Callithrix jacchus: one gene and its partners. The protein of the gene in region 4 interacts with the protein of the main gene of each other region in a biochemical or structural test. Links are inferred from orthologs where the notes say so. Each region holds a gene or a part of one and is shown on either strand. Other genes may lie near its edges.

Evidence for each region.
Region 1: the proteins of LRRK2 (region 4) and BAG2 form a complex in vitro, tested with the Homo sapiens proteins (2 studies listed by BioGRID and IntAct, with this or other methods). The link is inferred for Callithrix jacchus from reciprocal best matches to the Homo sapiens genes LRRK2 and BAG2.
Region 2: the proteins of LRRK2 (region 4) and YWHAZ interact on a protein array, tested with the Homo sapiens proteins (3 studies listed by BioGRID and IntAct, with this or other methods). The link is inferred for Callithrix jacchus from reciprocal best matches to the Homo sapiens genes LRRK2 and YWHAZ.
Region 3: the proteins of LRRK2 (region 4) and CUEDC1 form a complex in vitro, tested with the Homo sapiens proteins (2 studies listed by BioGRID and IntAct, with this or other methods). The link is inferred for Callithrix jacchus from reciprocal best matches to the Homo sapiens genes LRRK2 and CUEDC1.
Region 5: of the proteins of LRRK2 (region 4) and ARFGAP1, one has a biochemical effect on the other in vitro, tested with the Homo sapiens proteins (3 studies listed by BioGRID and IntAct, with this or other methods). The link is inferred for Callithrix jacchus from reciprocal best matches to the Homo sapiens genes LRRK2 and ARFGAP1.
Region 6: the proteins of LRRK2 (region 4) and ANKS4B interact on a protein array, tested with the Homo sapiens proteins (2 studies listed by BioGRID and IntAct, with this or other methods). The link is inferred for Callithrix jacchus from reciprocal best matches to the Homo sapiens genes LRRK2 and ANKS4B.
Region 7: the proteins of LRRK2 (region 4) and MATK interact on a protein array, tested with the Homo sapiens proteins (2 studies listed by BioGRID and IntAct, with this or other methods). The link is inferred for Callithrix jacchus from reciprocal best matches to the Homo sapiens genes LRRK2 and MATK.

Annotation. Positions count from the first base shown.
Region 1 is NC_133505.1:65,540,759-65,544,867, forward strand, and holds the start of BAG2 (BAG family molecular chaperone regulator 2), read left to right. Parts: upstream 1-1,309; 5' UTR 1,310-1,681; coding exon 1,682-1,794; intron 1,795-4,109. UniProt on the Homo sapiens protein: Co-chaperone for HSP70 and HSC70 chaperone proteins. Acts as a nucleotide-exchange factor (NEF) promoting the release of ADP from the HSP70 and HSC70 proteins thereby triggering client/substrate protein release.
Region 2 is NC_133517.1:96,015,691-96,019,923, forward strand, and holds the start of YWHAZ (14-3-3 protein zeta/delta), read left to right. Parts: upstream 1-1,433; 5' UTR 1,434-1,565; intron 1,566-2,911; exon of another isoform or gene 2,912-3,062; intron 3,063-4,233.
Region 3 is NC_133506.1:108,462,366-108,465,865, forward strand, and holds part of CUEDC1 (CUE domain-containing protein 1), read left to right. Parts: intron 1-4; coding exon 5-197; intron 198-1,498; coding exon 1,499-1,582; intron 1,583-3,500.
Region 4 is NC_133510.1:35,491,794-35,495,898, forward strand, and holds the start of LRRK2 (leucine-rich repeat serine/threonine-protein kinase 2), read right to left. Parts: upstream 2,801-4,105; 5' UTR 2,661-2,800; coding exon 2,510-2,660; intron 2,236-2,509; coding exon 2,150-2,235; intron 1-2,149. UniProt on the Homo sapiens protein: Serine/threonine-protein kinase which phosphorylates a broad range of proteins involved in multiple processes such as neuronal plasticity, innate immunity, autophagy, and vesicle trafficking.
Region 5 is NC_133506.1:58,761,192-58,765,267, forward strand, and holds the start of ARFGAP1 (ADP-ribosylation factor GTPase-activating protein 1), read left to right. Parts: upstream 1-1,276; 5' UTR 1,277-1,374; intron 1,375-1,566; exon of another isoform or gene 1,567-2,531; intron 2,532-3,410; exon of another isoform or gene 3,411-3,614; intron 3,615-4,076. UniProt on the Homo sapiens protein: GTPase-activating protein (GAP) for the ADP ribosylation factor 1 (ARF1). Involved in membrane trafficking and /or vesicle transport.
Region 6 is NC_133513.1:22,403,180-22,407,203, forward strand, and holds the start of ANKS4B (ankyrin repeat and SAM domain-containing protein 4B), read left to right. Parts: upstream 1-1,224; 5' UTR 1,225-1,248; coding exon 1,249-1,412; intron 1,413-4,024. UniProt on the Homo sapiens protein: As part of the intermicrovillar adhesion complex/IMAC plays a role in epithelial brush border differentiation, controlling microvilli organization and length. Plays a role in assembly of the complex.
Region 7 is NC_133523.1:3,556,268-3,560,548, reverse strand, and holds the start of MATK (megakaryocyte-associated tyrosine-protein kinase), read left to right. Parts: upstream 1-1,481; 5' UTR 1,482-1,746; intron 1,747-2,172; 5' UTR 2,173-2,249; coding exon 2,250-2,255; intron 2,256-2,585; coding exon 2,586-2,807; intron 2,808-3,005; coding exon 3,006-3,065; intron 3,066-3,697; coding exon 3,698-3,811; intron 3,812-3,909; coding exon 3,910-4,025; intron 4,026-4,122; coding exon 4,123-4,281.

The DNA of each region.
Region 1 (4,109 bases), on a different chromosome or scaffold from region 4:
TAGTACTCCAAGTGCAATCTTACCAGGTAGCTTGAACCAGAATGGTGGGGTATAATTGGGAAGAATCTAGATAGATTCTGAAGGTAAAATTGATGGGATTTACTAATAGGCTGGATCTAGGTAGGCTATGAGAGAAAAAGAGTTCAGGATGATTCCAAAGTCACTTGATAGGCTTTCAGACCACTCACAAAATGTGTTTTGATTTCGTTTGTGTCATGACAGAGTATTTTTAATAAGGTCAAATAATCCCCTACCCCAATAGTTAATTAGGATTTAGAATGAGTTCAGAGGGAATTGGGATCCAGCCTTAAGGGCTTCAACTCTGTTCAAGTATTTAAACTGCTTTGATCTCTTTGATTAAAGGTGGTGGTTCAACTTTAAACTATTATTATCTATCATTTTCTGTGCCTTGTAGATTTTCATCCTTGCAATGAGAGGCATAGAGCTATCAGGAGAGGGACCAAAGCCTCACTTTTTAAGTAGTCCAGTCTTTATACTCTCAGCTCTACTCCATCTTTTGTCAACTACAGCTCATGCCTGACCTAGAGGCCTTCTGCATCTTTTTGTTAACAGAAGATTTTTAAAAGTTGAAGACTCCTTAATACCAATTATTTCACTCAGAAGTATTATCATTATTATTTTTTGAGACAAAGTCTCGCCCTGTCGCCCTGGCTGGTGTGAAGCAGTTGGCGAGATCTTGGTTCACTTAACAGGCATAATTTTAATAGCAAAAATTAAAAACCCCTTCATTAAGCCCAGCGTGTAATCCAGCACTTTGGGAGGCTGAGGTGGGTGGACCGATGGAACCCAGGAGGTCAGGGCTGCACTAAGTCGTGATCGTGCCACTGTACTCCAACCTGGGTGACAGACCCAGTCTCAAATTCAAAATAGAATGGTAAAAATGAAATATATTCACCTTGCTTCCCACATCTAGCTAGACAAGGAGAGATGGAATAGCTTTTTCTTTTTCAAAGCTTCAGTTGCTGTAGGTGCTTTCATTACTCATCTCAGGAAAGAGTGGTAATAGGAAGGTCAGGTGCGTGTAGTCTGCCTAGAAGCTGTACTGCCTTGTGTTTTACATAAGGCCGTTTTCTCCCCATATCACAGGACTCAAATGTCGTTGTTCTTGCTTTGAATTATGGGTGCTGGGAGAAACTAAACGAACCCATTACTGAGCAATACACCCACAGCCCATCGACCGATAGGAACCTTCGCGTGGGGGGAGTTGGTTACTTTTAGTCTGCACGGAGAGGCGGGGCCTCGCAGGGCGGAGCTGGGGGTGGTCTGTGGGTCCGCGCGCGCTTCGGGTAGTTCCTGGGTCTGAGGAGCTGACGAGACAAGCGGCAGACCCGGCAGACCACATTAAGCGCTACGTCTCTGCGTGCGCCCCTCCTGGCGCCTCAGAGCCTTGCGCTCGTGGTCCGCGCACCTCTTCCTCCGGCCGCGGCTGCTCCCTCGCTGGCCCGGCATCCCCGAGCCCCGCGGGCGCCGCGCCTGCCCTTGTTTGGCCACGCGGCAGCCGCGGTGTTAGCGGGTCCTCTAGGGTTGCTCCCGCGGGCGTCAGAGGCGGGGAGGGCGGGCTCCCGCGTAGTGACGGCAGCGCTTGCAGCCGCAGGAGCGCTCCATTCGCCGCCGCCGGAGGGGCCGGTGACCTCTCGGCTGCCCCACGTCAGAAGCTTAGATGGCTCAAGCGAAGATTAACGCTAAAGCCAACGAGGGGCGCTTCTGCCGCTCCTCCTCCATGGCCGACCGCTCCAGCCGCCTGTTGGAGAGCCTGGACCAGCTGGAGCTCAGGTGAGCGGCGGGCTGGCGGGCTAGCGGGCTGACGGGCGGGCGGTCTCGGGCGTCCTGCTAGCTGCGCCGCGGTTCGCGGACGGAGGCCGTGTGTGGCTGGCCGGGGTCTGGGGCACAGTGAGGCGGCGGCCGCAGAAGTTTCCTGTTGAGATTTGTGGTGGATGGACGTGGAGCAGTTTTGTTTCTCGGATTTTCTCCCCTAGTCCGACAGAGGACGCGTTCGATTTAAGCTAAACCTGTGAGGGCGTAATCAGTGGCCACACTCTGACTTACCTGGGTGTTGGAGAGTGGGAAAAAAAATCAGAGGATATAAAAGTCCCGGTGAGATTCCATGCGATTAAGGACTGTGGCAGCCGGGGTCTGCAGAACTTCTAGAACCTTCTGTGTGGCCCCAGATGTTTTTAACTTACTCTTTTCCCGTATGCGTTTTTAAAGGAGGCAGCAGTTTACAGTGGCCCTTCACGTGAAATTAAGTTTCCCTGCTTCAGAGCACTTCGGAGCAAAAATGGAAAAAAACAAAACCAACCCCGCGATCCATTGAGAGCAGATTAGAGAGGGGTGAGGGGTGGGTGGTAGGGTTACTGGGTGTTTAGTGCAGTGAAGACGTTGCTGCCTCCCCTGTCTCCCCTAACCTCGCTGGCGGTATTCAGCCGCTCCGTTAGTTTCTCCGTACTGGGCACCTCCCTGCATGGAAGACTAAGTGATAGTCTCTGGCCTGAAAGCATGAAAAGGTAGTTTTCTCCTTTTCTTGCTTAAGATTTTATTAGGTAATATAGAAGTAGACGTGCGTAGAATTTCGAAACAATTTAATGTTAATAGATTTATGGAAGGACTTTAACGGTGTATTGAAAAGTTTTATATACTTCCTGTTGAATGTTTGTTTCAAGTTCCTGTGAAATTTTTGTGAACAAGTGTAGTTAAAAGAAAATCGTGTTAGGCACCTGCAATCCCCTGAATCTGTACACAGGAGTTGGTTCCATCTTTTTCTCTAGGTTGTGCATGAGCAGAGGCATGTGAGCCAAAAAGTTGGGGAAACACTCTGTGTGTGTCTTTATCTCCCTCCATTAGTATACCCAAGCATGAAGTGTCCGTTTGCCGAGAAAATACTTCAATAACCACGGTATCTCTTAACTAGTGAGGCACTGTTACTGTTACTACTGGGAGAAAAGAGCCAGAGAGGGAGAGATTCTCCACTCACGATAATTTCATGGATGGCAGCAGAGAAACCTCAGCCCTACGCCGGGTTTTGGGGTTCCACTCAGAATTAGGCAAGTGGAAGAGAGAAGTAATGCTTCCTCATGGATTTTCTATGTACTAGCAAACCTGACCCATTCCACTCCCAGGAAAAGTAGAGCGAAAGCAGAAATTAGTGGCTTCAGTTACTTGAAGTCCCTCCAACTGATAATGTTTCTCCTTAGGGAGCCACGTAACAAGTAACCCACACTTCTCCATATCTTAAGAATGTTAAGGGCATGTTCTCAACCACTTCACTCTGGCTCTCCCTTAGAAAGAAAAGATTTTTTCCTAAAGGAATAGGGAGGATGCTACTCCACCCTGCCTTCCTTCAAGCGGAGTCATTGTCCTCCAACTTGAAATGCCTCACATGTGGTAGGTACAAAAGCACTCTGAAGTGCTCCTCTTTAAAATAAAGCCTCAGGTTTTGAAGATTATTATATTCTAATGTTTGATTAATGTAAAATGAATTCTGATTACTGCACATCACTGATTAAATTACAACTTGCTTAATATTTGAGTTGAGAAAAGTCTGATTAATATGTGGCTGTTTGTTTCAAGGCCTTTTTTTTTTAGTAGTTCTAGACTTTTGTAGGCTTTTTTTCTTCTTTTTAAAAAAGTAGTACTGGCTGAAAAGGATTTCTGAAGGTAAGCAAAAATAGAGAAAAAATGCTAATACTGATCCTATTAAAGTTTTTTTGAAACCACATGGGCAATGGCACAGAACACTACACTATTAAAACGAGAATCATGAGTACAACAAGGTTGATTTTTAAAAGAAACTAGGAAACTCTTATGTAATTTTGCTCTAGTAGTTTGATTGTATGTTGAGTAATAAAGTAGTGTAACTGGGTAGAATAAAACCTTACAGTTTGTACTTAGCTGTGTGCACTTAACGTTCCCTAACCACATTGGTCCTATCAATTGAGTAAGAAATTTCTTCCCTATGAAACTGAAAATAGGATTATGCCAAATGTTTTGTGACCTGGAGTATGAACTGACCTACATGATATTTAAAATGTTTGACAGCAGTTCTACTAACTGTTAAAGGTTTTTATTTATCTCTAATGGAATTTATCTAA
Region 2 (4,233 bases), on a different chromosome or scaffold from region 4:
CGTTTAAAGAAGGAAGGGGCAGAGATCACACTGTGTTTCTGAACTTCCTTAAGTCAACTGGGCGGAGGCCCTACCGGTTCAGGCACCTGCAATTTCCGCCTTTCTCCTTCCCCCTCTTCCGGGCTCTGTCCCCGCTCGTCGCCCGGCCTGTGGCCCACTCCCATCGCCAGCTGGGGCCCTGGGGACTACGACGTCCTTCAAAGCTTGCTTTTAGAAGACAAAACGGTAATGATAGTCACGTTTTAAATCACTGCAGTGTGAGCTCTTCACGTGAACGCTTTATTTGGGTAGGAAAACCTAGCCTACGAGAAACAGGCCCGTGCGGTCACGCCTGACTGCTCGTCTCCGGGTCAGCTGTGCCAGGACCAGCTCCAGCCCCCCACCGGAGAAGGCGATCCTTTCCCCTCCGCACTCTGGCTTCCCTAAAGCGGCCGCGCCTCCTTCCAGGCCTGACCTCCCGCCGGCTCCGCCCGGCCCGGCCCACCTCGCCCCATCTCGGTGCCCACCCATTGTCCCCTCTCGCTGTCACCGAGCGCAGATCCCGAGCTCCCGATTGGAACACCTCCCCATCACTCAGCCACACTCCCGTTTCCGAGCCATAAAAGGTCTAGGGCCACTTCCCCGGAGCCAGCAGGTAAAGCCGCGGCGGCGTAAGGGAAGCAGGGAGCGGCCGCGCCCCCTGGTCGACCCAGCCGAGCAAGGGGAGCACACCACACACAGCCCTCCCTTGCCTTGCGACCGCGCCCTGTCCTCGCCCCAGGGCCCCCACCCTGCAAGTCCTGATCACAATGCCGGAGCCGCCGACCCACACTCGTCATCCTGCCCCGGGACGGCCCTGGGACAGTGACCACCGCGAAGCACCGAGGGCAGGGCAGGGCGGGCCGGGCCTCGGGGAGGGGGGCGGGGTGGGGGGGATGTGAAAGGTCCCGGATGTTGCTGAACTGGAGCCCCTTCCAGAGGAGTGAGAGGAGTGACTGGCGCAAGCGCAGACCGGCTGAGCGAAAGCTAACGTGGGGGTAGGGGTAGGGAGACAGCTGCCTTCCCACAGGCTCAGAGGTAGAGTGGGCCGGTGGAGGCTGCAGGGGAGAGGACGTCGGGGACCTAAGGGGAAGGCGAGGAGTCGGGGGGATCTGCGTTGGGGAGGAAAAGAAAAACAGAAGCTTCCCGCCTAGGTGCACTCCGGACAAGCGTAGAGGACCTGGGAGCCGAGCCGGGTGGGGGAGTGGCCGTAGCGGGCGAGGACGCGCGCTCCTCCGCTCGCCCTCCAGCGCGGGCGGGCAGGACGCGCGCCGGGGAGCGGCGGTTGCGCGAGGCCCAGATCGCTGTGGGCACTAATCAACGGTTGCCATAGCAGCGTTTGACGTCATCGTGCGTGTGGTGCCCCTGCTGCCGGGGCTGGTGATTGGAGGAAACCCCGTGTCTGCGGAGCGGCTGTAGCCTGTGAGCAGCGAGATCCAGGGACAGAGTCTCAGCCTCGCCGCCGCTGCCGCCGCTGCCGCCGCCGCCGCCGCCCAGAGACTGCTGAGCCCCTGTCCGTCCGCCGCCTCCACCCACTCCGGACACAGGTGAGGAACCCGTCCGCCGCCGCTCCCCGCTCCTCCTGTCCCAGGCCAGCCTTCTGAACGCGTGGGAGCCGTCCTCACCGGGTCCCCTCATCCCCGCTCGCCCCACGGTGGCGGCGCGGGGCTGAGGCGGAGTCTCCCCGGCAGACACGGGCGGCGGCTCCTCTTCCGCTGGGCTCGGGCGGGCGGCTAGCGGCAGCCTCCCGCGCCTGGTTTCCGCGTCGCCGCCCCGGCCCCGATCGGTGCTCGCTCCCCCGTCCCGCTCCCGGGGGTGGGGAGGGCGCCCACACGCGAGATCCCCGGGGATCCCCCGTCGCCTGCTCCCGAAGCCGGACGAGGCATGGCCGGGGCGCCGCCGGCCGCGATTCGTCCCCACCCTTGTTTCTGCTTCTACCCCCGCCCTCGCTGCCCTTCTCGCTTCCGCCCGAGATAATGACTCGGCGGCGGCGGCGGCGGCGGCGGGCATCGCGGGGGCGCAGGTGAGGCCGCCCCCTCCCCTGTCCCTCGGCCGCCCCTTCTTTCCCCTCCCCCGCTCTCCCTCCCCCGCTCTCCCTCCCCCTCGCGCAGCCTCCGCGCTGGGCGCTGCGGTGGCGGGACCCGGCCCTCCCCCACCCCGGGAGGAGGTAGCGCGGCGGGGAGGGGCCGGGGGCCTCGGGGACACAGGCGGGAGGGAAGGGCCTGGCGGAAGCGGACAGGAGCCCGGGCCCGGCCCGGCGGCGGGAAGGGAGCCCACTGCGGGGGGAGGCTGTGGGGTGGGGCTCGCCTGGGACCTGGAGCTGAATTTCCTGGGCTCCGCGGTGGGGGGAAGGGCTTGAATTTTCTCGGTGGGGACGGGGGATGGGGATGGGGATGATTTTCTTTCCTCCTTATGAACCGTCGGGGAAGGCGCGGACTGGGGCTGTGAGCCCAGGTTGGGGTAGAGCGGGGTGCGGATCCCGCGATAGGCTCTCGCGCCGGAGTCACTAGAACTGGAGGGTCCCTCCGCCGCTTCGGGGACGCACAGTGATCCTGAGCAGAGCGGCCGCCGGTGGCCCGCTCGACTGGGTGTGGCTCTCGTCCCCTCCCCCACCTGCAGCTGTCGGGCCCTTAGGGACGGTGCACGCGGGCACCGGCGCTGATCGGTGGCGGGGAGAGCGCTGGGTGGGAAGGCGGGGTGTGTCCGCGGTGAGGCTGCTAGTGGTTCCGCTTCTGCGGGCGTCTCTGGCGTCTCTGCCCCGGGGTCGGGTGGCTTGGCTTCCCCCCACGGCTCGAGCGGGGGCGGGGGCGCCGGCTGCTCCTCCCCCTTGCTCCGGTGGGGGGGGGAATTAACACTCAGCAGTAGGTTGGGCTCCCTGACACAGATCCGCCATGACAAAGGAGGAGAGTCGGGGACCTGAGCGGAGGCTCGGGCTTGGGCGGAGCCTGGAGGGGGGTGGTTGCAGATACGCGGACCCGAGGATTTGCACTTTAAAGTCCGGGTCTGCCCGTTTTCTTTTCACCCTAACCGATGTCTCAAGTCAGGTAAGGGTTAAATGGGTGCGGTGAGTCCTGCCCGCAGTGTAGAGGCGAGGCCTTGGAGCCATCGTTACTGTGTGAGAAACCTTATCCACTTCCTCTTGTACCCAAGTAGTGGGGGAGAGAATCCTTTGTGCTGGTTTGAAATCATTTTTCGTTAGAAGCAGAATTAGCCAGAGAGCGTGTCTCAGTTCCTAAGGGAAAAATTAATAATAGAGAGACCTGAGGAAAAGCATGTCGTCATAAAGGTTAAATAATTTTTATGGGTGAGCCAGTACCTTGCATCCAAATTAGCTAATTACTTGCTTAAAATGTGAGGACATGTTCTCTCATTTGGTTAAAAAAGTATTGTGGGATTTCCCTGGGAAGGTAAAAGGTAATTAATATTCGGGAGTCAGCTCCCAAGGTGGGTGGGTCAGAATAGCTCTTCTGTTCACCTTCTAATTTAAAATATACACTTCATTTATGTGTATATTTTCCTCTAAAGTCGTTTATTCTGCGGTCTCACTGTGTGGATTAGTGTCTTTGTGCTGTTTAGCAACTTTGAAAAGGATGTCCTTCCAGAAAAATGTAGCTGAGGTAAATTGAAAAGGTCTAGGAAACTATGTGAGGGAAGGAGTTAGGTGGGTAGTCACGGCAAAGGACAGCTTGAGTGATAGCATGCAGTTATTGTGACGGTGACAGCTAGAAGCAGGATGCGGCACTTACACATTGCAACTGGAGCCATGACATTGCAAACACTTGTAAATTAAGCACTTCCAATGTGATGTATTTTAGTACTCACAGTAATAGTTGAAGGGCCATGACTCGTGGGTATTTTTAAAGCATGTGGACATACAACACGATAAAGAGTTGAGGCATTAGGGTCGGTTAGATGTTGGTCCTTTGTGGTGGCTTTACAGTAAAAATATCTGAGAACAAGCAGTTTGGCTATTCCTCCCCTAAAGTGTTATGCTATTACGGCTGGCAAATGTTACAGAGATCTAGTAGATTTGGAATGAGGGGAAAACTAAAATTTAATCACTCCTTATTATGAAAGTTAAAAGACATAAATTACATTAAACTGACTTACGATTCTGGAAGTATGATAGAAATCCACATGTTCTGTAAGCAGTACGTTTACAAAAGGAAGAAAAGCTGCTTAATTTTATATCACTTAGTGGTATTGGAATTGAGT
Region 3 (3,500 bases), on a different chromosome or scaffold from region 4:
CCAGGGTAATGCTGGGGGCCCCAAGCCTGGGAGTGGAGAGGGAGGTCTGCCGGCCATGGCCGGGTCAGGGCCCCGAGACCAGGAGAGCCGCTGGAAGCAGTACCTGGAGGACGAGAGGATCGCTCTTTTCCTGCAAAATGAGGAGTTCATGAAGGAGCTGCAGCGGAACCGTGACTTCCTCCTCGCCCTGGAGAGAGGTGGGCAGTGCATGCAGCCACTTTTCCCTGGCTGAAGAAGGGAGGTGATGCCGGCTTTAGCCTTGCGGCTCGGGAAAGCACTGAGCTGGGGGCTGAGGGGGCCAGGTGCTTTCTGTCCTGCAAGGCATGACTCCCACCAGGTTATCCCATGGGAGCCCCAGAATTCTGCCAGTGCGGACCTGCGTCACTGGCCACCCCTTTCTCCCTCGGGACTCAGAGGAAGGAGGGTGTACACTCTTAGGCCTTCTTCCCTTTGCACATCTGCTCTGTGCCAGGCACTGGTCTTGGCACAGGACAGCAGGGAAAAGAGCACTGCCCTTCCCCACGGCACCAGCCCCAAGGCAGGCATGATGTGTCTGGAGCTCCGGGAACAGAATGACTGGCTCCATGGGCGCCAGTGCGTGGGAAGCTCCTGAGTGGAAGGCCTTAGAGCAGGGGCTCTGGAACTCTGCGGGTATTTGGGTTGTCTCTGGGTTGGAGACCCTGCTCCCCAGCCTGGCTGCCTTTCCCCTGAGGGGTGGGAGTGTGTTTGGGCTGGAGGAAATGAGAGGGCCGTGGAGCTCTGTTGCTGTGATGGCCATGGCGTGAGAGCTTGTGTGTGTAACGGATGGTGTGTTGGTGGGGAAGGAGCAAGTTGTGCAGGGAGAAGGCTGAGCTGAGGCCCAAGGTCAGCCCCAGCTCTGCAGCAAAGGTGCTGGAAGTCTCAAGGCCTTTCCTTTATTATTTATTTATTTATTTAGAGACACAGTGGCTCATTTCCCTCTTGTGGCCCAGGCTGGAGTGCATTGGCTCGATCTCGGCTCACTGCAACCTCCACCTCCCAGGTTCAAGCGATTCTCTTGCCTCAGCCTCCCAAGTAGCTGGGATTACAGGCACATGCCACCATGCCTGGCTGATTTTTACATTTTTAGTAGAGACGGTGTTTCACCATGTTGGCCAGGCTAGTCTCGAACTCCTGACCTCAGGTGATCCACCCACCTCAGCCTCCCAATGTGCTGAGATTACAGGCGTGATCCCATCACATTTGGCTGGGTCTTTCCTTTTAAATGAGGGTGTTTGGACTCTATAATCTCTCCATGTCCTTTTAATTCTGACATTTTAGATGGTTGTCAAGTAGTAGTTTCTTTCACTGCTGGTTCTTTAAGAGCTGGGAGATGTTGTATGCACTCATATTTTGGGTGGCTGTGTGCTCATGTGATTTTGGGGGCTCAGCCTCTAGCAACCTACCACGTTTCAGCCCAGCCTGCCCCTAGGAGCCCAGGAGCTAACCTCCCTGACTTGTGAATGTGGTCCTTTTCCAGATCGATTGAAATACGAATCCCAGAAATCTAAATCCAGCAGTGTGTCTGTCGGAAATGACTTTGGCTTTCCATCTCCTGTCCCAGGTAACTTTGCCTTCCGGGGACGGACACCTAGAGGCATGGCACAGGGGGCTCACACCCAACTTTGCTTTGCATATTTGGAGTTTGGGAGTAGGGTGAAAAAACAGATTGTGGGAGGGGGCCTGGGCCTTTCAGCAGGCTGGTGGGGCCGCTTCTGCCCCCACCTCCATATCTACTCCATTTAGCAGCCCTGGGGTCTTTCCAGTTCAGCCACGGCTGGGCTTCTGAGCCCACAGCTGTGATCGAGTAACAGGCTGGCTGAACTCTCAACCTGTGCCTTGAGTGTAAGTTAGTCAAGGACACACGGCCGGGCGCAGTGGCTCACACCTGTAATCCCAACGTGAGACCCTTTGTCTCCACAAAAAAAATACAAAAAATTAGCTGGGCATAGTGGCATGTGCTTGTAGTACCACCTACTCAGGAGGCTGAAGTGGGAGGATCACTTGAGCCCAGGAGGTTGAGGCCGAAGTGAGCTGTGATTATGCTACTGCACTCCAGCTTGGGTGACAGAGTGAGACCTTTGTCTTCAAAAAAAAAGGAAAGAAAAGGACACATCATACCCGAAAATGCCCCATGGTGGGACTCAGAGACTTGATAAGTCTTAGTCTCTGCCCTGGGGGATCTTATGGTCTTTTTTTTTGAGACAGAGTCTCGCTTTGTCACCCAGGCTGGAGTGCAGTGCCATGATCTTGGCTTACTGCAGCCTCTACTTCTCAGGTTCAAGCAATTCCCCTGCCTCAGCCTCCTGAGTAACTGGGAGGGACTACAGGCGCACGCCAACATGCCCAGTTAATTTTTTGTATTTTTTTAGTAGAGACGGGGTTTCACCACGCTGGCCAGGCTGGTCTCAAACTCCTGACCTCGCAATCCACCTGCCTCAGCCTCCCAAACAAAGTGTTGGGATTACAGGCATGAGCCACCAGGCCCAGCCAATCTTATGATCTTGTAAGGAGAAATGCCCAGAAAACAGGTAGAAGAAACTAGCAAAGCTGAGGACTTACTGATTTTAGCAAATACATGGAAAAAAAGGAGGGCAGGATCAATCTGGGGAGTTCACTCATTCATTCATGACATAGCTGGAGAATATTTGCCAGCTGTTAGTCCCTGCCCTAGGTGTTGGAGGAAGAGGAGTTTCTAGCTTTTTGTACAAGGTGGTGGGGAGTAAGAATTGCCTGTAGGCCAGGTGCAGTGGCTCACGCCTGTAATCCCAGCACTTTGGGAGGCTAAGGCGGGTGGATCATGAGGTCAGGAGATCAAGACCATTCTGGCCAACAAGGATGGTGAAACCCTATCTCTACTAAAAGTACAAAAATTAGCCGAATGTGGTGGCATGGGCCTGTAGTCCTTTCGGAGGCTGAGGCAGGAGAGTCACTTGGAACCTGGGAGGTAGAGGTTGCTGTGAGTTCAGTCAAGCCACTGCACTCCAGCCTGGGCAACAGAATGAGACTCTGTCACACACACACACACACACACACCAGCCTGGGCAACAGAGTGAGACTCTGCCCTCCCCCCCACACACACACGCAAAGAATTGCCTGTAAAGAGGGCCATGCCCTTCTGCTCAGAAGCCCTAATGGCTGAAGGAGGATTGGATGGGGGTGAGGGAGCAGCAGTGCTACTGGGATTCGCAGACTACTGAGTTGAGCCACAGCTGGAAACGTGGTGCCTGGTCAGTCAGTGCCCCCTGCTCCACACATACATGCTGCCCACCTTGGGGAAAGGCTCTTGCCTGGAATAGACCTTGCATCATGCAGTGGAGTCGAGGGTGGAGGAGCAGAGGGATGGGGGGCTGAGCTGATCCCAGCTTGAAGGGAGAAAATCCTGTGGAACTGACTCATAAGCAGCAGGCTGGGAGCTTAGGCCTCAGCAGATGTGCAGCTGGGAGTTTTAAGCAGGAGCTTCTTGTCCTTGATCCTGAATT
Region 4 (4,105 bases):
GGCAGGAGAACTACTTGAGCCCAAGATTTTAAGTCTGCAGTGAAGCAGAGTGAGACCCTGTCTCTAAATTAATTACTTAATTAAAAATAAAAGAAAATGTGGTATACATACACAATGGAACATTATTCAGTCATACAAAATGAAATCCTGTCATTTGCAACAGTCTGGGTGGGACTGTAGGTTATTAGGTTAAATTAAATAAGCCAGGTGCAGAAATAAAATATTGCATAGTCTCACTCATATGTAGGAGCTGAAAAGGTGGATATCATTGAGGGAGAGAGTAGAATGGTGGTGACCAGAGGCTGGGAATGAAAGGATGGGAGGGATGAAAGAAGGTGGTTTAATCAGCACAAAAAATATAATTAGATAGAAACAATTAAGTTCATATACAATAATATAGTAGGGAAATTACAGTTAATAATTTATTGCATATTTCAAAATAGCTAGAAGAAAGGAACTGTAATATTGCCAACACAAAGAAAAATGTTCCAGGTGATAGATATTCCAGTTACCCTGATTTGAACATTACACATTGTATACATGTATCAAAATATCATATGTAACCCCAAAATATGTATAACTATGATATATCAAAAATGAATTAATTAATTACTTTTAAAAAGACTCTTCCTTGTTTTCCAGCATACTTTGCTTCTGGTACCCTCTTGGCAGAAATATTAAGTGACACTCATAACTACTCCAGACAAGTATGCCCAGGTTTGAGCAATTTCTAAAATTAAGAATTAGGTGGTGAGTATGTTCCAGGCACTCTTGGGTTCTCAAGTGTAGCACTGCCTTTATCTGGACGCTGTAGACCAAAGCCTACCCAGGTTCTGACTGTCCTGAGTGTTATCAAGCAGGAGTGACTCTATCAAGTACAGAGTCGAGGGAATTAAGTTGGCCGGAATCAGGCACTTCTGAACACCAAAGCAGTGGCAAGTAAGAAGGGATGATGTGAGTGCAGGGCAGGAAGCACTATAGGCCAGTGCCCAAAGAGTGACTCATATTCCACAGGCAAAATTCCGACTTTGACTCTTAAAAGAACAGCATCTTTATTATGCCTCCATCTTTTCTTGGTTTGGTTTTGATATCAGCAGGAAAATCTATAATAGTCAAACGGAAAATATTTCACAGTTGAAAACAAATTAAAATATTTCTTCCAGATATAAATGTCCTTGTATCAAAGAAGCTAGATGGTTCACCCAGACTAGATACAGCTAGCTACAGAGATAAGCATGAAGATAAAGACAGACGCACACCGATTTAAAGATTGACATGTCTTACATCTCTCAAGCCTCGCAAGTATTAAGAAACATTGGCTTGCTGACTCCACCTCCGTGGCATTCAAAGTTCAATTCTCTTTCTCCGCATGAGTTAACTTAACACTTAGATGACAAAACAGATGTCAGTTCCCCAAATCTCAAAGTGCTCCAAAGGAAGTTATCACCTTGGCTTATAATTTTGTTTTGACTGGAAATCAATCTTAATTACCATTTTAAGGCCCCCTTTAAAAAATATATCCAAGGTATTTAGCAAATTTCTGAGTTTCCAATAGTACATATTGTGAAAGTTTCACTTTTACACGCATTTTTTATGACAGCAGTTGCAAATTATGAGGAACTCATAAGACATCACTTTCTTTAGAGACTACAAGGTATACTCTAACTGAAGGCTAGATATCTGTCTTTGAGTTTAAAAATAAAGTGCTGAGCTCTACAAGAGTTTGCCAGTGACTAAGTGGCATTTTATCACCATTAGTTATTCCCCTTTTCCAAACTGTTCATAATCCTTTTATCTAGGACACACCCTACATTGGGAAGATTCTTGGAATAGGTCTAAACACTAATGAATTCATCTTGCCAATAACGGGACTAAACCTGAACCCATTTCTATCCCCCTACTACACTATCCATATTGTGGGTTTCATAAAGTTACTTCTGAAAGATACTCAGGGAACATGTACTGGGGCCCTTTACCAGTTTACATTGTCTAATGATTTAACAATGTTCCCATCTTAAAATCACTGTCAGAGGTTCCTCAGGCCAAATTTCGGGAATAACCAAGAACTCCCGGGTATATAACACTGCCAGTAAAACGTCTCCTTCCAAATAGAAGGGGGAATGAGTTGAAGTGAAAACAATGTCTTTACCTGCTGCACACTCGCGACTCTCATATACGAGTCCAAGACGATCAACAGAGGAACGTGGATATTTTTGCCTTGAAATAACTTGGAGGCTGGAAAACAAGGGGGTGAGGAAAAGAAGCAAAGTCACAATCCACAGCACTCCCTTTCCTTTAAGTCTGAAAAAGGGAGAAAAGTCAAAAAGGTGAACGCGAGACCTCTCTGGAATTCTCAACTCTACTCAGCCCTAAGGAAAGGATATGGGAGTTTGAGGCTCCTTAAGAGTCCGGGTTTGAGCAGCGTCAAGGGAAGGAGGACGAAGTTTGCAAAAGTGAGGAGGGGGTGAAAGTTTGCAAAAATAAATGCAGTTTCCTTGAAAGTGATTACCGTGCTCGGAGTACGTGAACACCAGCAGATCCTCCAGGATTTGGACCAGCGTTTCTATCTGTTTTCCTTCCTGGACGTTGTTCAGCCTGACTATTAACTTCTTCAGAGTTTCCTCGTCCTCCTCGCACACCTGACTGCTGCCACTAGCCATGGTGGCCCCTGCTTCCAGCCCGCAGCCCTCCCAGCACGAACGTCCGCTACTCCGGGAACCGGCAGGGGCGCCGGCCACAGCTTCCCGGGGGCGAGCACAGCTCACCTCACCGCCCGCAGCCAGCGCTTCCCGCGGGCCCCATCTGCACCCACGCCCGCCTGTTTATGAGGAAGGCGGCGGCTCCCCGCCCCGCGCTGCCCTCCCTCTCCGGAGCCCTCCTGCTCGGCTTCCTCCTCCCCCACCCAGGCCCCAAAAACTAGCTCAGGGGCCTGCCCGAGTCTCGGCGGAGGCGACGGGCCTCCCAGAACCCTGGCGGCGGCCGAGCGGCTGCTGGAGCCGGGCCTGGCCGGGATGACCGTGACCGTGGCCCCCACGCCTGCCTAAACCCGACCCCGGGCTGGCGCCGCCTCCTGGGACCAGATTCCACCCCAGCGGCGGCGCGGCCGCGAGTCGCGCAGGAAAAAAACTGACTCGGCTGACTCCGCTGAGGCCCCAGGCCCCGAGCCCCGCAGCGGAGGCGCCACCCTCCGCTACCCGCCAGCGGGGGTCCCTGAGGCCCCCACAGAAGGTCTGGGAACTGGGAGCAGGAAAAATGAAAGCCGCCTATCTCCAGATCTAAGAATAGAAATCAGGGCGTTGGGAAAACAGGACACCGCCCAGATGGCCCCTTTTAGGAAAACATTCTCTTTAGAGTTCCCCCTATAGGGAATCGAGTAATTTCCCCCAAAGGACAGAGAGAGGTTAGCTTTCAAAACTTGCCTGCTACTGTCTTTTTTATGATTGTGGTGACTGTTCGTGGGAGAGGAAATAAACATTGTTTCTCTGTGAGTTATCTGAAACTCTGGTCACCACAAGGCCCCTAAATTAACTTTTGGAAATTTGAGTTGCACTAGGCAGGATCCTAATGGTTGGGACACCCGAAAAGTAATCAGCTCTCAGAGCTATTAGAACTAACATGGAAGAACAGGGTACATTAAATGAAAGGTGAAAAGGTGAGAGAAGCAAACCTAAGTACTTTTCTCTTGGTATTCAGAATTACTTATGAGTGTCCATCACCCCCAAGTTTTTTTGTTTTTTGATGTTTGTTTGTTTGTTCTGTTAAGTACCTAAGTAATGTGTTTTCTAGGAGCAACCAAGCAGGAACATTGTAGACAAGGCTAGGCAAAGATGATCTACCCTTCAGGTGATGTGTCTGTCCTCAAGTTCATCTACAAAGAAGAGGATTGGTCTGGAAGTTAGTACTTCACAATTTTAGATTTGTTTTCACATGTTATTTCAATCCTGATGACAATTCTGAAATGGATAAATGTATCCTTCTTTCACTAACGAGGAAATTGAGATTTGGAGTTGATAAGTGAAGAGCTTTGCTGGATTCACCCAGGTGGGAAGTTGAGAGCCAGAATTTCAACCTAGGCAAATCTCAAAACACCAGGTGGGAGGTTCTT
Region 5 (4,076 bases), on a different chromosome or scaffold from region 4:
TCAGGTGACCCGCCTGCCTCAGCCTCCCAAAGTGTTGGGATCACAGGTGTGAGCCACCACATCTGGCCACTTAGCATGTTTTAATAACGTTCCATACACATCCAACACCCAGAAATTTCACTTCTAGGTAATTACTCAAGAGGAAGAAAAAATATGCTACAAAAAGCCCTTTCAAGACAGCTTTATTCATACTAACCAAAACATAGAAACGACCCCAGTGTCCAAAGTGTGAACGAATGAAGGAATGTGACGTATTTTCCATGGCGTGCTACTTGGCAATAAAAAGGAACCAGTTACGATGCGTGCGACGTGGCTGAATCTCAGAACCTCGTGTTAAGGGAAAGAAGCACCACCAAAGTGTATTTTGCACGACTCTATTTGTGTGATATTCCAGAACAGGCAAAACTAAGACATGGAGATGTTGGAATCAGAAGAGTGGCTGCCTCTGTTGGGAATATCTATAACTGACCAGGGTAGATGTTACCTGGGGATATGCATTTGTCAAAACTCCTTGACCTGTACGTTTTTCGGTGTTGCAGCTTATACCACAATACAAATGTTTATTCTCCATCATTTCAAAGGTCAGCCAAATCAAGGAGAAATATGTGAAATGCACAGAAAAGCACAAAAACAAAACAAAAAATTACCTGCAATTAACCTCCCACGGGTGACCGCTTTTCCGGCTTTGCACCTTCCTAATGCAGACTCGGGTCCCATCACTGCACACCCGCGCCCTGGGGCATCTGCGTGGCAGGGGCGGGGGACCGCGGTCCTTTCAACGCCGCCGCCTCCCGCCAGGGCCCAAAGGCTCGGCTGGTGGGAGACTCAGACCCAAGTGCGGGAGCACGGGCCCCAGGACGCACCCCCACCCCCATGCCAGTCCCCCGTCCCCTGCTACCCACTGCCCGTGGCCCTCGCCTCCCTGCCTGTCGCCCGCTGCCCCTGGTCCTCCTACCCCCGTTCCCCTGCTGCCCCCTCCCCAGAGCCCCCGCTCCAGGCCCCTACTCGCCCCTCCCTCGTTGTCGGCCCCGGTGAACGCGCCACCCCGGAACCACCCCAGCTTTCTTTCGCGGACGCACGGACTCATCTCCCGCCTGGCCTCCCCCACGGCCACAGCTACCAGCTGCGCTCCGGGGCCCAGGGAGGGGATGGACGGCGCGTCTGCGCGTCTCTATGGCGACCGGGCGGCTGCGCGCCTCGAAGGCTGGGGCCTGAGGCGGAAGTCCCGCCCCGCCGGCTCCCGCGAGACCTTGCGAGCGTGACGTAGCCGGAAGTTGGTGGCGGCTTGTGGGCGCCCGGGCGCGTCCCCGTTACAGTGCGGCGGCTCGACCCCGGCTCTGGCCTGACCCCGCGGCCCTGTCCGCCTCCTGCCAGGTAAGCGCGCGGCTTGGCGGCGCGGGCGCGGGCTCGGCCTGAGGCCCCGGCTCCCGCGGCGTTGGCCCCGGCGTTCGCGGGCAGACCTCCCCCCCACGGCCGCCCCCGCCCGGACCCCGCTCAGCCCCGAGGCTGCTGCCCAGAGCTTGGCGGCGCCCACTCCGCGGTCCCCCGGTCCGTTCGGCGCTGGGCGGCTGGTCCTCCTCGCGCGGACGCCCCGCTGCAGCCGCCTCTCCCCGGTGCCGCCCCGAGTCCCCCGCGCCCTCTTCCCTCCGAAGCTGCCCTCCACCCGCACCCCGGATCTGGAATCCCCCACCGGTTACGCGAGTCCAGAGGATCCCTGCCCGCTTAGGGCGCGAGCAGGACCCTGCCCTGTCCCCTTCAACCCCCTCTTCCCGAGCTCCTTAGGACCCAGGACTGGGCCTGGGCTTCCACCCCTTAAGGAGTGAGGGTTCTGCCCGGTGTCATCAGAAGTGGGGTGTTGGTGAGCCCACTGTCGTCAGAAACGGCAGCCTCAGCTCGCGTGGTTTCCTCTTTACCCTTTGACGTGGCTGCCTGTCTTAAGGGAGAGAGAAGAAACCAGGAAGGGGCTTTTAAAACTGTTTTCACTTTCTGTGGGTTTGGAAGAACTATGCTTCGTGTCTGTTCTTTTAAACGCCTTAATTACAGGCCACCAGTTCTAAGAAGTAACTCTGCTCATTTTTTGCAGGTCTGATTAATATTCCTGCCACGCTCTGTTAATTTTAACAGCAAAGTTTGGCTCTAAAGTGACCCAGGGCATCGAAGCTGTTAGCTTTGTTTAGGCATCCCTTTCTGGGGCCGCATCCCTCTCAGAGTTGAGAAGTTGTCTGTTCTTTAGGAGAAGGGGCTGCTGTTCTTAGACGTGGGTCCTTAGGTGCTTCAGACTCAGCATTTCTGCCTGTCACTGTGTCACAGCCCTAGGGCTTGAGCAGTGTTCTTAAGCATCCCTTTTGACCTCACCTATTGCGAGTGTTCCAGCTTAACGGATCCTGAGTTTTGAAGTCTCAGTGGCTTCCGAACTAATACAAAGTGTCCTCGCTGGGTTTGATGTTTACTGAAGTTATGTGCACTTGCAGGAGGAGGGATAGTTTTACATCTTGGTTCAGGTGTTAAGAGTTCCTGGATTATTTTTCAAGGTAAACCATATTGGGCTTTTGAAGGTTAGGAGGTATTTGTTTTTGTGTTATTAACTTTAACATTTCAGGTAACTGGGGCTCGTGAATACCCAAAATTAGTCACATAGAGGAGTTACTTTTAAATCCAAGGGAAGTCCTTTATTTTTTGCACATTTTCTCCCTGCAGTAGTCCTGTGAGTATCCTGTGTATTTTACAGTTAGAAATTGAAGGAGCGTCTCATGGTTCTGACTTTTGTGTGCCCGTGTCTGTTGGCCAATACATGAGCCCCTGAGAGCAGGCCTGGTGCTGTGGGAAGGAGCGAGTGTGGAGACCCAGAGCGGCCTCGTCCTGCTCTGGTGGCTCACCTCCTCTGCATGGGCCGGCTTCTGCGTGTGCCTGCCGTGAGAAGAATGTGTCCCAACGGCCTTATAAGCTCAGCCCCGCTACCCTTGGTGCCAGGACCTCTCCAACCTGGCTTAGCCCCTTTCCATCTTCAGTGCTGTGTTCGGGTGGAAGCTCAGTTTGATGACAGTTTCGCCTGAATGAGTCATGCTGGGATCCAAGTCTATGCGGTCGGGAGTAAGCTTTCAGACCTGCCTCATGCTCTGGTTCCTGGGCGCTCTCACACCAGGCACAGAGCATTACGGAGTAGAAGTCAGCCCAGGGTGAACTTTTGGCTTTGTTTTGATGAACTGCAGAAAACATATTTATTTCCTGACTTTGAGTGGGTTTAAAGTAGGTGCTGGTGAATACTAGGAGTCATGGGCTTCAGAATTCAGGAACTTTGACCGTGTGGAGAGTTGGGACACTCCCCCCTCCCAGTGAATACCTTGTTTCTGCATACTTATGATGAGAAATGAAATATAGGACAGAGATTTTTCTTTTTTTCTTTTTTTAAGCTTCACCTCAACATAAATTTCCACCTACACCGTGAGTAGGAAAGCTGGTCTACACAGTCCTCTTAAATACAGTGGAGGAGGAAAGGGCTGGCGCTGGAAAGGGCAGCCGTGCACACGTGTAGTTTCCTGTGGCTTACAGAGCGCTGTGTGTTCTCTGTGTAGTGAGGTAGAGGGAACAGCACACAGCTCCGTTCTTATTGAGAGGTGGGTGAGGCTCAGCGCAGTGAGGCGTGGGCGCGCGGGGTGCAAGCCTGCTTCCTCCAGGCTGGACTGTCTCTGCAGCCTGCCCATTGGGGGTGTATTCGGGGCCACTGGGTCATTCTCGTTGGACACTGGGGTTGGTTCCACTCCTTCCTCCAGCTTTGAATCTCAGCTGTATCGGTTTTCCCGGCCCTGAATTGGATGGGCCACCAGCGGAAGTTGTGCTTTGTAGTTAGGAGAGCTGCAGAGACATCCGCAGGTTTTCTCTTCAGCCCGAGCCTGGTTGCTGCTATCCCACTAGGGTCCCTGTGAGCCACCGCGGCGGGGCTGATGGTCCGAAGCCACTCTCTCTGTCCTGCTGCAGCCACACTGCTGCCCCCCCCAGGACTCGGAATGGCCCCAGAAGGACCCACCTGCAGGTCCCCCAGCAGGCCAGCTGTTCCCACACTGTGGGCAAGGGCACTG
Region 6 (4,024 bases), on a different chromosome or scaffold from region 4:
ATGCTCAATATCATTAGGGAATTGCAAATTAAAACCACAGTAATATCAGTTCACACCCACTAGATGGCCATACACAAAAAGATAGGCAATAATAAGAGCTGGCAAGGAGGTAGAGAAACTGAAACCCTCATACATTATTGGTGGAAATATGAAGTCATATAACCACTTTGAAAACAGTTTGGCAGCTTCTGAAATCTAAATATAAATTGCCATGTAACCCAGCAGTTTCACTCCTTGATATATATGCAAGGCACATGAAAATATGTGTCCACACAGAGACTTATATATCAGTGTTTATACTAGCATTATTCGTCAATGCTAAAAAATGGAAACAACCCAAATAGTCATCATATTCATCAAATATTGAATGGATGAAGAACATTTGGTATCTTAGGACAGTGGAATATTACTTAGCATGAGGGATCTTTGAGGGTTGATGAAAATTAAGAAAATGGGTATGCAACTCTATAAATGTCCTAAATATCATTGAATTGAATTGTATACATAAAATGGGTAAATTTAGTGGTATTATACCTCAATAAAGCTGTAATTTTTGGAAATAAAAACAGTGAACTAGACTAGCTCTGCATTTTTTATTTTTTGGGTGTTTTTTTTTTTCTTTTTTTTTTTGAGACGGGGTTTTGCTCTTGTTACCCAGGCTGGAGTGCAATGGCGCGATCTCGGCTCACCGCAACCTCCGCCTCCTGGGTTCAGGCAATTCTCCTGCCTCAGCCTCCCTAGTAGCTGGGATTACAGGCATGCGCCACTGTGCCCAGCTAATCTTTTGTATTTTTAGTAGAGATGGGGTTTCACCTTGTTGACCAAGATGGTCTCGATCTCTTGACCTCGTGATCCACCCGTCTCGGCCTCCCAAAGTGCTGGGATTACAGGCTTGAGCCACCGCGCCCGGCCAGCTCTGCATTTTTTAAAGAAATTTCTTACATTCTGTGCCTAGATGACCAGTATTACACTCAAGAAACTAACGGACATAGAAAAATTAAATGTGCCTCAAAACACTCAAGATGAATACAGCAGTCTTCAGTAGTCAACGTCATGGCCATTCCAGAGAGAAAAGGTCCAAGTTCAGTGCCTTGAATCTTGTTGCCTTCCATGAAAGGAAGCTGGAATGAGCTTTGCCCCGGTGACACTTTTCCTTGTCACTGATTAACTAGCGCTATAGGAAGGTTGCTCTGCCAACACCCTGCTCTGCCTGGAGAGATATCTGGCCAGTTCTGGTGAGCAGAAAAAATGTCTACTCGTTACCACCAAGCTGCTAGTGATAGTTATCTGGAACTTCTAAAAGAGGCTACCAAGCGAGATCTAAATCTTTCGGATGAAGATGGCATGACTCCCACTCTCTTAGCAGCCTACCATGGGAACTTGGAAGCCCTAGAGATAATCTGCAGTAGAGGGTAAGTTCAACCCAATGGTTTCAGTTGGAAACAGTGTTCATGGTAGCTTTTTGCAGCAGCAGCAAGAGGCAGGGATGTCAGTACAAATACTTTATCCTCCTTCTAGACTGTCTAAATGATTGGCTTTTTAGAGAAAGGGAGAAAACTACCTAGAGAGGCTCTCTTTTCTCACTGAGGACTGGCACTATGGGAGTGGCTCATCCCTTAGTCACAATCAGAGGAGAGATTCTGAACTGTAAGTGTTATCTGCCTGGAGAAGAGAAGAGATATTTTAATTCTATGCCTTTAAAAATGGTTTTCATGAAATTTATATAGTTTACTCTTTTAAAAGAGGCCGCTGTTTTACTTGGTTTTAAGTTGTCAAATTTGGTTGGAACAAATGACATGTTTTTAGTTTATTTTTTCATCTATGCCATTAAAATTCCAGTCTTTTATTAACCTTCAATCCCAGTACAAGCACATGATTTATTTTTATTTTTTGGTTTTGACACAGAGTCTTTCCCTTTTGAAAGGAGTTGCTGGCTCTACAAGGAATCTTTAGCCTACCTTGACTCTTGTCAGTTCTTTGGCCAGTGGACACACACACACACACACACACACACACACACACCGCTCTTTGCCCAGATTTTAATGAAGTTAGCTAGCTCTTCTGCTTGTTCTGCCTGTTATCAGAGGGCTGTATTGTGCTGGCGACTGTGACTCAAGAAGAGTAAGGAAAGAAAAAAGGACAATGTAAATAAAGGAGCCGAGTGAATCCAATTCCAGTATCTGTTATGTGCCAGCCATTTTGCTGGCCACTGGCACACTGTGATCAAAAAGCCAGCCACAATCCCTGTCATGGTGATCAGATTTGAGAGGGGAAGGCAAGACATCTATGGTGTGTGTGTGTGTGTGCGCGCGCATGTGTGTGTGTGTTTGAGACAGGGTCTCATTCTATCACGCAGGCTGGAGTGCAGTGTTGTGATCATAGCTCACTACAGCCTTGAGCCCCAGGCTCAAGTGATCCTCCCACCTGATCCTCCCGAGTAGCTGGGACTAGAGGTGTGCACCACCATGCCCAGCAATTTTTGTATTTTTTGTAGTGATGGGGTTTTGTCATGTTGCTGAGGATGGTCTTGAACTTATGAGCTCAAGCGATCTGACAGCCTTGGCCTCCAAAAGTGCTGGGATTATACATGTGAGCCACTGTGTCTGGCTTATCTGTGATGTTTGTTACAAAACGGGAAATAGAGGGCACTAAATAACATAGGCATCTATCCCAATCTCAGGGGTGAGGGAAGGCTTCCCTAAGGGAAAAGCATTTAAGCTGGGATTAGGAAAATGAGAACAAGTTGGCCAGATGAAAGAGTGTTTTTCCTAAGACAGAACACTACATTCTGAGAAGTAAAGAAGCTGAATATGGCTGGACATGGCTCAAGTAGCAGTGGGGACAGGGCAAGTTCCCAAGAGATAAGACCAGATCACAGAGAGCCTTGTCAACTCTGGTAAGGACTGTACCCTAAGGGTCCAGGAAGCCATTCCATGTCTTGGGTTTACGCAGGGAAGCCGCCCGAGTAGATTTATGTTTACAAAACTCACTCAGGTAGATGGATAACGGCCGGAGAGAAGGTTTGGGGCTGTTTTCATGGTCGAGATGAGTTGGACTAGGATAGGGGCAGTGGGAATGGGAAAATGCGGTTGGCTTTGAGCGGCAGTTTGGATGTAGAATCAATCATGATTAACTGGATGTGGGCAGATGAAGGAAAAGGAGGGTTAAGGACCCAGGATTTGGATGTTGACACTATTTATTAAAATAGGGGACATTTAGGAGGAACCCAGGATTGGGAGGATTCCTGAGTGTAAGATTGAATGAGGAAGTGCATGAAGCAGGTCTTCCCGTCTCTGCTGTCTGATTTGACTTCCTTTTCTCTGATTGATGTGGAGACACATCGATCCCCATCAGCCAGCCTTCTCCAGTCATCTCACCTCTTCTCCTGCTCAGCCCAGGTTTCCCCAACTTTCTCTATCTACGGAAAGTTTACCTCTTTCCACAAACTGCAAGATGTCAGTTACTTTAAAATCGATGTATTAGTCTATTCTTGCACTGCTATAAGGAAATACCTATGCCTGGGTAATTTATAAAGAAAAGAGGTTTCATTGGCTCATAGTTCTGCAGGCTGCACAGGAAGCATAGTGGCTTCTACTTTTGGGAAGGCTTCAGGAAGCTTCTAATCATGGCAGAAGGAAAAGGCATCTCACATGGCAGAAGCAAGAGCTAGAGAGCGAGGCAGGGAGGTGCTAGAAAACAGATCTAATGAGAACTCACTATCATGAGGACAGTACCAAGGGGGATTCCAGTCCTAAACCATTGATGAGAAATTCACCATCATGATCCAACCACCTCTCACCAGTCCCTACTTCCAACATGAGGGATTACAATTTTATTTGAGATTTGTTCCCCTCACAGAGATTGTTCAGATCTCACAGATCTAAACCATATCAATCAGTGAGTTTGTCCTCCTAGAAGAGGGTTTGGGGGTCTTCTTCAACAGCAGAGAGCTCTTGTTCCATTTGAGGACCATTTTGAATAGTAATGGTTAGGTGTTCTCTCTCTCTCCTTTGAAAGCCTGAAA
Region 7 (4,281 bases), on a different chromosome or scaffold from region 4:
TTACAGGCGTGAGCCACTGGGCCCAGCCTGTAGGTGGGATTAAATCGTTGCTGTTGAGATGAGAGGGCATCCTGGATGGTCCGGCGTAAAATATATAATAAAATGCATATAATGTAATATAACGTAACATGTAATCGTGTGGTTTGGCCAGGCGCTGTGGTGTGCACCTGTAGTCCCAGCAAAGGGGGGCTTAGCAGGAGGATCGCTTGAGCCCAGGAGTTTGAGGCCAGGCTGGGCGACCCAGAGAGACCTCATCTCTAATAATAACAATGTAGTTGCCTGGTCTGCTGCGGAGGTCCCTTAACACAGCTCTTCTGTAATTCTCTTGTATCTGGGCCTCTGCTCCCCCAAAATCATGCGACGCCCCCAAGTCCAGACACTTACCCTTTTGGGGTAACGGAAGGTTAAAGATGGGCGCAGGCCACCTGGGTGTCTTGGTTCATTGCCCTCCTGAGATGAGCTTGATCTTTGTTTCAGAGGACTCATCCCTTAGAAAGGAGATAAGGTGCCAGGTGGGGTGACTCACGCCTGTCATCCCAGCCTTTGGGAGGCCGAGGTGGGAGGATCGCTTGATCTCAGGAGTCCAAAACCAGCCTGGGCAACAAAGTGAAACTTCATGTCTACGAAAAGTTGGAAGAAAAAAAATTACCCTATAGTCCCAGGTACTCCCGAGGCTGAGGCAGGAGGTGGGCTTGAGCCCAGGTGGTCAAGGCTGTAATTAGCTATGATCATGCCACTGCACTCCAGCCTGAGGGACAGGGACAGAGGGAGTCCCTGTGTCAAAAAAATTTTTAAAAAGATAAGGACCTCCATTGGGTGAAAGTGGATCGGGTGGTTTGGTCACCGGAACCACGAAGCCATCCCTAGGGGCAGGGCCCTGTCCACCAAGACCACGTGAGCTCAAACACTTCTATGAGGCAGAAGCGGATGGGGCCCCCGCCCTCCCTATGGAGGAGGCAATCCCGGCTGGAAAATGGGTAGCTCCTGCCTCTGGGCAGAGCCAGGACCCCCCAACTCCCAGAGCCCTCTTTTGCCCTCCAAGGAGGGCTGGTTTGAGAAGTTTGCATCCGGATGGCTGCAGCTCCGGAGGATGCTTTCTGTTACCCAGTTTTCCCTTAATGTTGATGATGATGACAATGATTCCAGAGTGGCTGACATTTTGGGGGGCTCTTTTTTGGTCAACCACAAAGAGCTCTCTGAGGCGCTGGGTGCTAAAATAGGCAGCACGGACGGAGGTGAAATTGCAGAGTGATAAGGGCCCTCTGGGTGTCCGGGCTGGGCGCCTTGCTTACCTCCCCCGACGGGCAGCTCACTCTCCCTCAGCCCCCAGCCCCTGCTCCCAAGAGCCCCGCTTCCCAGGGTGGGTGGGGGGCGCACGCCAGAAAGATCCAGGTTAGCGCCAGGCATGGAGCCCGCGTGCGCCCCGGGACCCCGCCCGGGGCGCTCGAGAGGCTCCCGGGACCGCGGGGGCGGGGCGGGGAGGGGCCGGCGGCGGCGGCGGAGGCCGCGGCGCGCGGCGCGTGGAGCAGACCGCAGTGCGGCCGGCGCTAGGACCCGTGGGGGCCTCCCAGGCCGCGGCGCTTCCCGCTTACCCCCACTCCCGACCCTCCTTCGCCCCCAAAATGAGGAAACGGAGCAACTCGCTCCAAGTTGTGCAGACGGGACCGCCTCGGGGTGCGCAGCCGGCTCGCGGAGGCCCTCCTGGGGGCGGACGCGGGGCGCGGCCCGGGAGCGCACCCTGAGCAGGTGAGCGTGTCCGCGGGGAGAGGTGGGGACACTCTGAGGCCGTGGGGGAAACCCCGAGGGCTCGGGGCGGGGGTGGGCCCGGGACGTGCGCAGGAAGGGCCGGTGTGCGCGCGAGTGTGCGCGTCCCGGGCGCGCGGCGATCGGACCGGTGTGGCGGTGGGGGGGTTCCCGGGTGCGGGTGTGCGCGGCTGCGAGACCCGGGCGTGTGTACCCGCGCGTCCACGTGGAGGGCTGTGCGCGTGTGTGGCCGAGATGCGTGTGCGCGGCCCTGCGTGGCGCTCTGCGTGCCTGGGTCGCCCGGCGCTGGCGCCCAGGTGTTGCAGTGTGGGGTGGCTGTGTGTGTGCCGGGGGCTGAGGACAGGTGCGCACGTTCCCGGGTGTGGAGCGCCTGGGCGCGCGGGGACGTGTGCACACACCTGTTTCCAGGTGGACGGGGTCCTTTGCTTATCTGCGCGCACCTGCGTCCGAGCCCCGTGCGTTTCTGTGCGTGTACATGCATCTGTATGCGTGTGAGTACACGTGGGACTGGAGGACTTCAGGGGAGGCGCATATTGGAGGGGCTGAGACTCACCCCCCCAACACCCTCCACTTCCCATCGACCAGCAGTTGGGGAGTTGAGGGAGGCAGGGAGGGTCCCCCACTCCTACAGCAATGACCGACGTTGTGTGTCTGTCCTGGGTTTGTTGGGGGGCGATCAGAGAGGCTCAGCCGGTGGCCAGAGGAGCCCAGTAGGGCTGCAGGACCCGCCCCTGGCCCCACCTCCACCCCAGGGTCAGAGATTCTTGGGAATGACCTTGACTCATCCCTATCTCCCCACCCTGCCTCTGCCTACTTCCCAGAAAAGAGGAAGAACTAGGCTGATCCAGTGGCATCCAGCTCTCTGCCTCCTGTGCCAGCCACCCAGCCTGTGGCAGGCCATTCCCAGCGCCCCCAACTGTGGCCACTTGCTCAGTGCGCCTCTCCCCTGGCTCAGTTTACCTCTGGGGGCGATGGCGGGGCAAGGCTCCCTGGTTTCCTGGCAGGCATTTCATGGCTGTGATTCTGCTAAGGAACTTGCCCGGGTAAAGATCACCTCCCAGAAGGGGCTGGGGAGCCAGCTCTGGGTCCCACCCGGGATGCCTCTGTGGGGGCTCTCTCTGCCCCCCCCCCGCCCCGCCCTCCCCGCCGTCATCCCCACCTGGCCTGGGGAGGAAGTGGTAGGAACTGGACCCTGGGTCCCAGTCCAGCTCCCTCCCATCTGGACTCTGCCCTTTCCCCAGGTGAGCCCCTGCTTCCTCCGAGCCTGGCATCCCCCTCCCGTCTCAGCCAGGATGCCAGCGGTGAGTGTGTCCAGCCGGTTCCTCTGGGGGGCTGTCCTCTCTGCCCCCATTCCCCTTGCCGGACTCTGCCTGGTCTTTCTCAGTCACTTCGGCATCCTGACCTTCTGTCCCCGGCCTCCCCTGTTTGTGACCCTTTTTTTTTTTTTTTTGAGACACAGTCCCACTCTGTCACCCAGGCTGGAGTGCAATGGCGCAATCTCAGCTCACTGCAACCTCCAATTCCTGGGTGTAAGCAGTTCCCTTGCCTCAGCCTCCCAAGTAGCTGGGATTACAAGTGACCGCCAGAACTCCCAGCTAATTTTTTTGTATTTTTAGTAGAGACAGGGTATCTCCATGTTGGCCAGGCTTGTCTCAAACTCCTGACCTCAGGCGATCCACCCATCTCGGCCTCCCAAAGTGCTGGGATTACAGGTGTGAGCCACCGCGCCCCGCCTCTGTTTGTGACTCTACGATTTCTTTCTGTGAGCCCCGCTCTCCCCGGCTCCCTCCTTCCCCGGTGTCTGCCTGTTTTCTCTGCCTCTCTGCTCTTTCCCAGTCTCCATGCCTTTCCCCCTCCTGTCCTCTCTCGCCTCCTGTGCCTCTGCTCCCCACATCTCTGTGATGTCCCCCCTCCCCCCCGGCCCCCTCTGCAGAGGCGCTGGACCCCGGGCACCCAGTGTATCACTAAATGCGAGCACACCCGCCCCAAGCCGGGGGAGCTGGCCTTCCGCAAGGGAGACGTGGTCACCATCCTGGAGGCCTGCGAGGTGAGCGGCAGGTGGTGGGCATGGGTGCTTGGGGATGGGGGCTCCCCCAGGACCCCCACCCCACCCGCCACACCAACCCTGTGCTTCCTCCCTGGCAGAACAAGAGCTGGTACCGCGCCAAGCACCACACCAGCGGGCAAGAGGGGCTGCTGGCGGCCGGGGCGCTGCGGGAGCGGGAGGCCCTCTCCGCGGACCCCAAGCTCAGCCTCATGCCGTGAGTGGGTGGGACGGGGGGCCTGGGGTGGGGGGGCAGGAGGTGACCCCCTGCCCGGTCCACGGCCTGGCCTGACCCACCCCTTCTGTGGCCACAGGTGGTTCCACGGGAAGATCTCCGGCCAGGAGGCAGTCCAGCAGCTGCAGCCGCCCGAGGACGGGCTGTTCCTGGTGCGAGAGTCCGTGCGCCACCCCGGCGACTATGTCCTGTGCGTGAGCTTTGGCCGCGACGTCATCCACTACCGCGTGCTGCACCG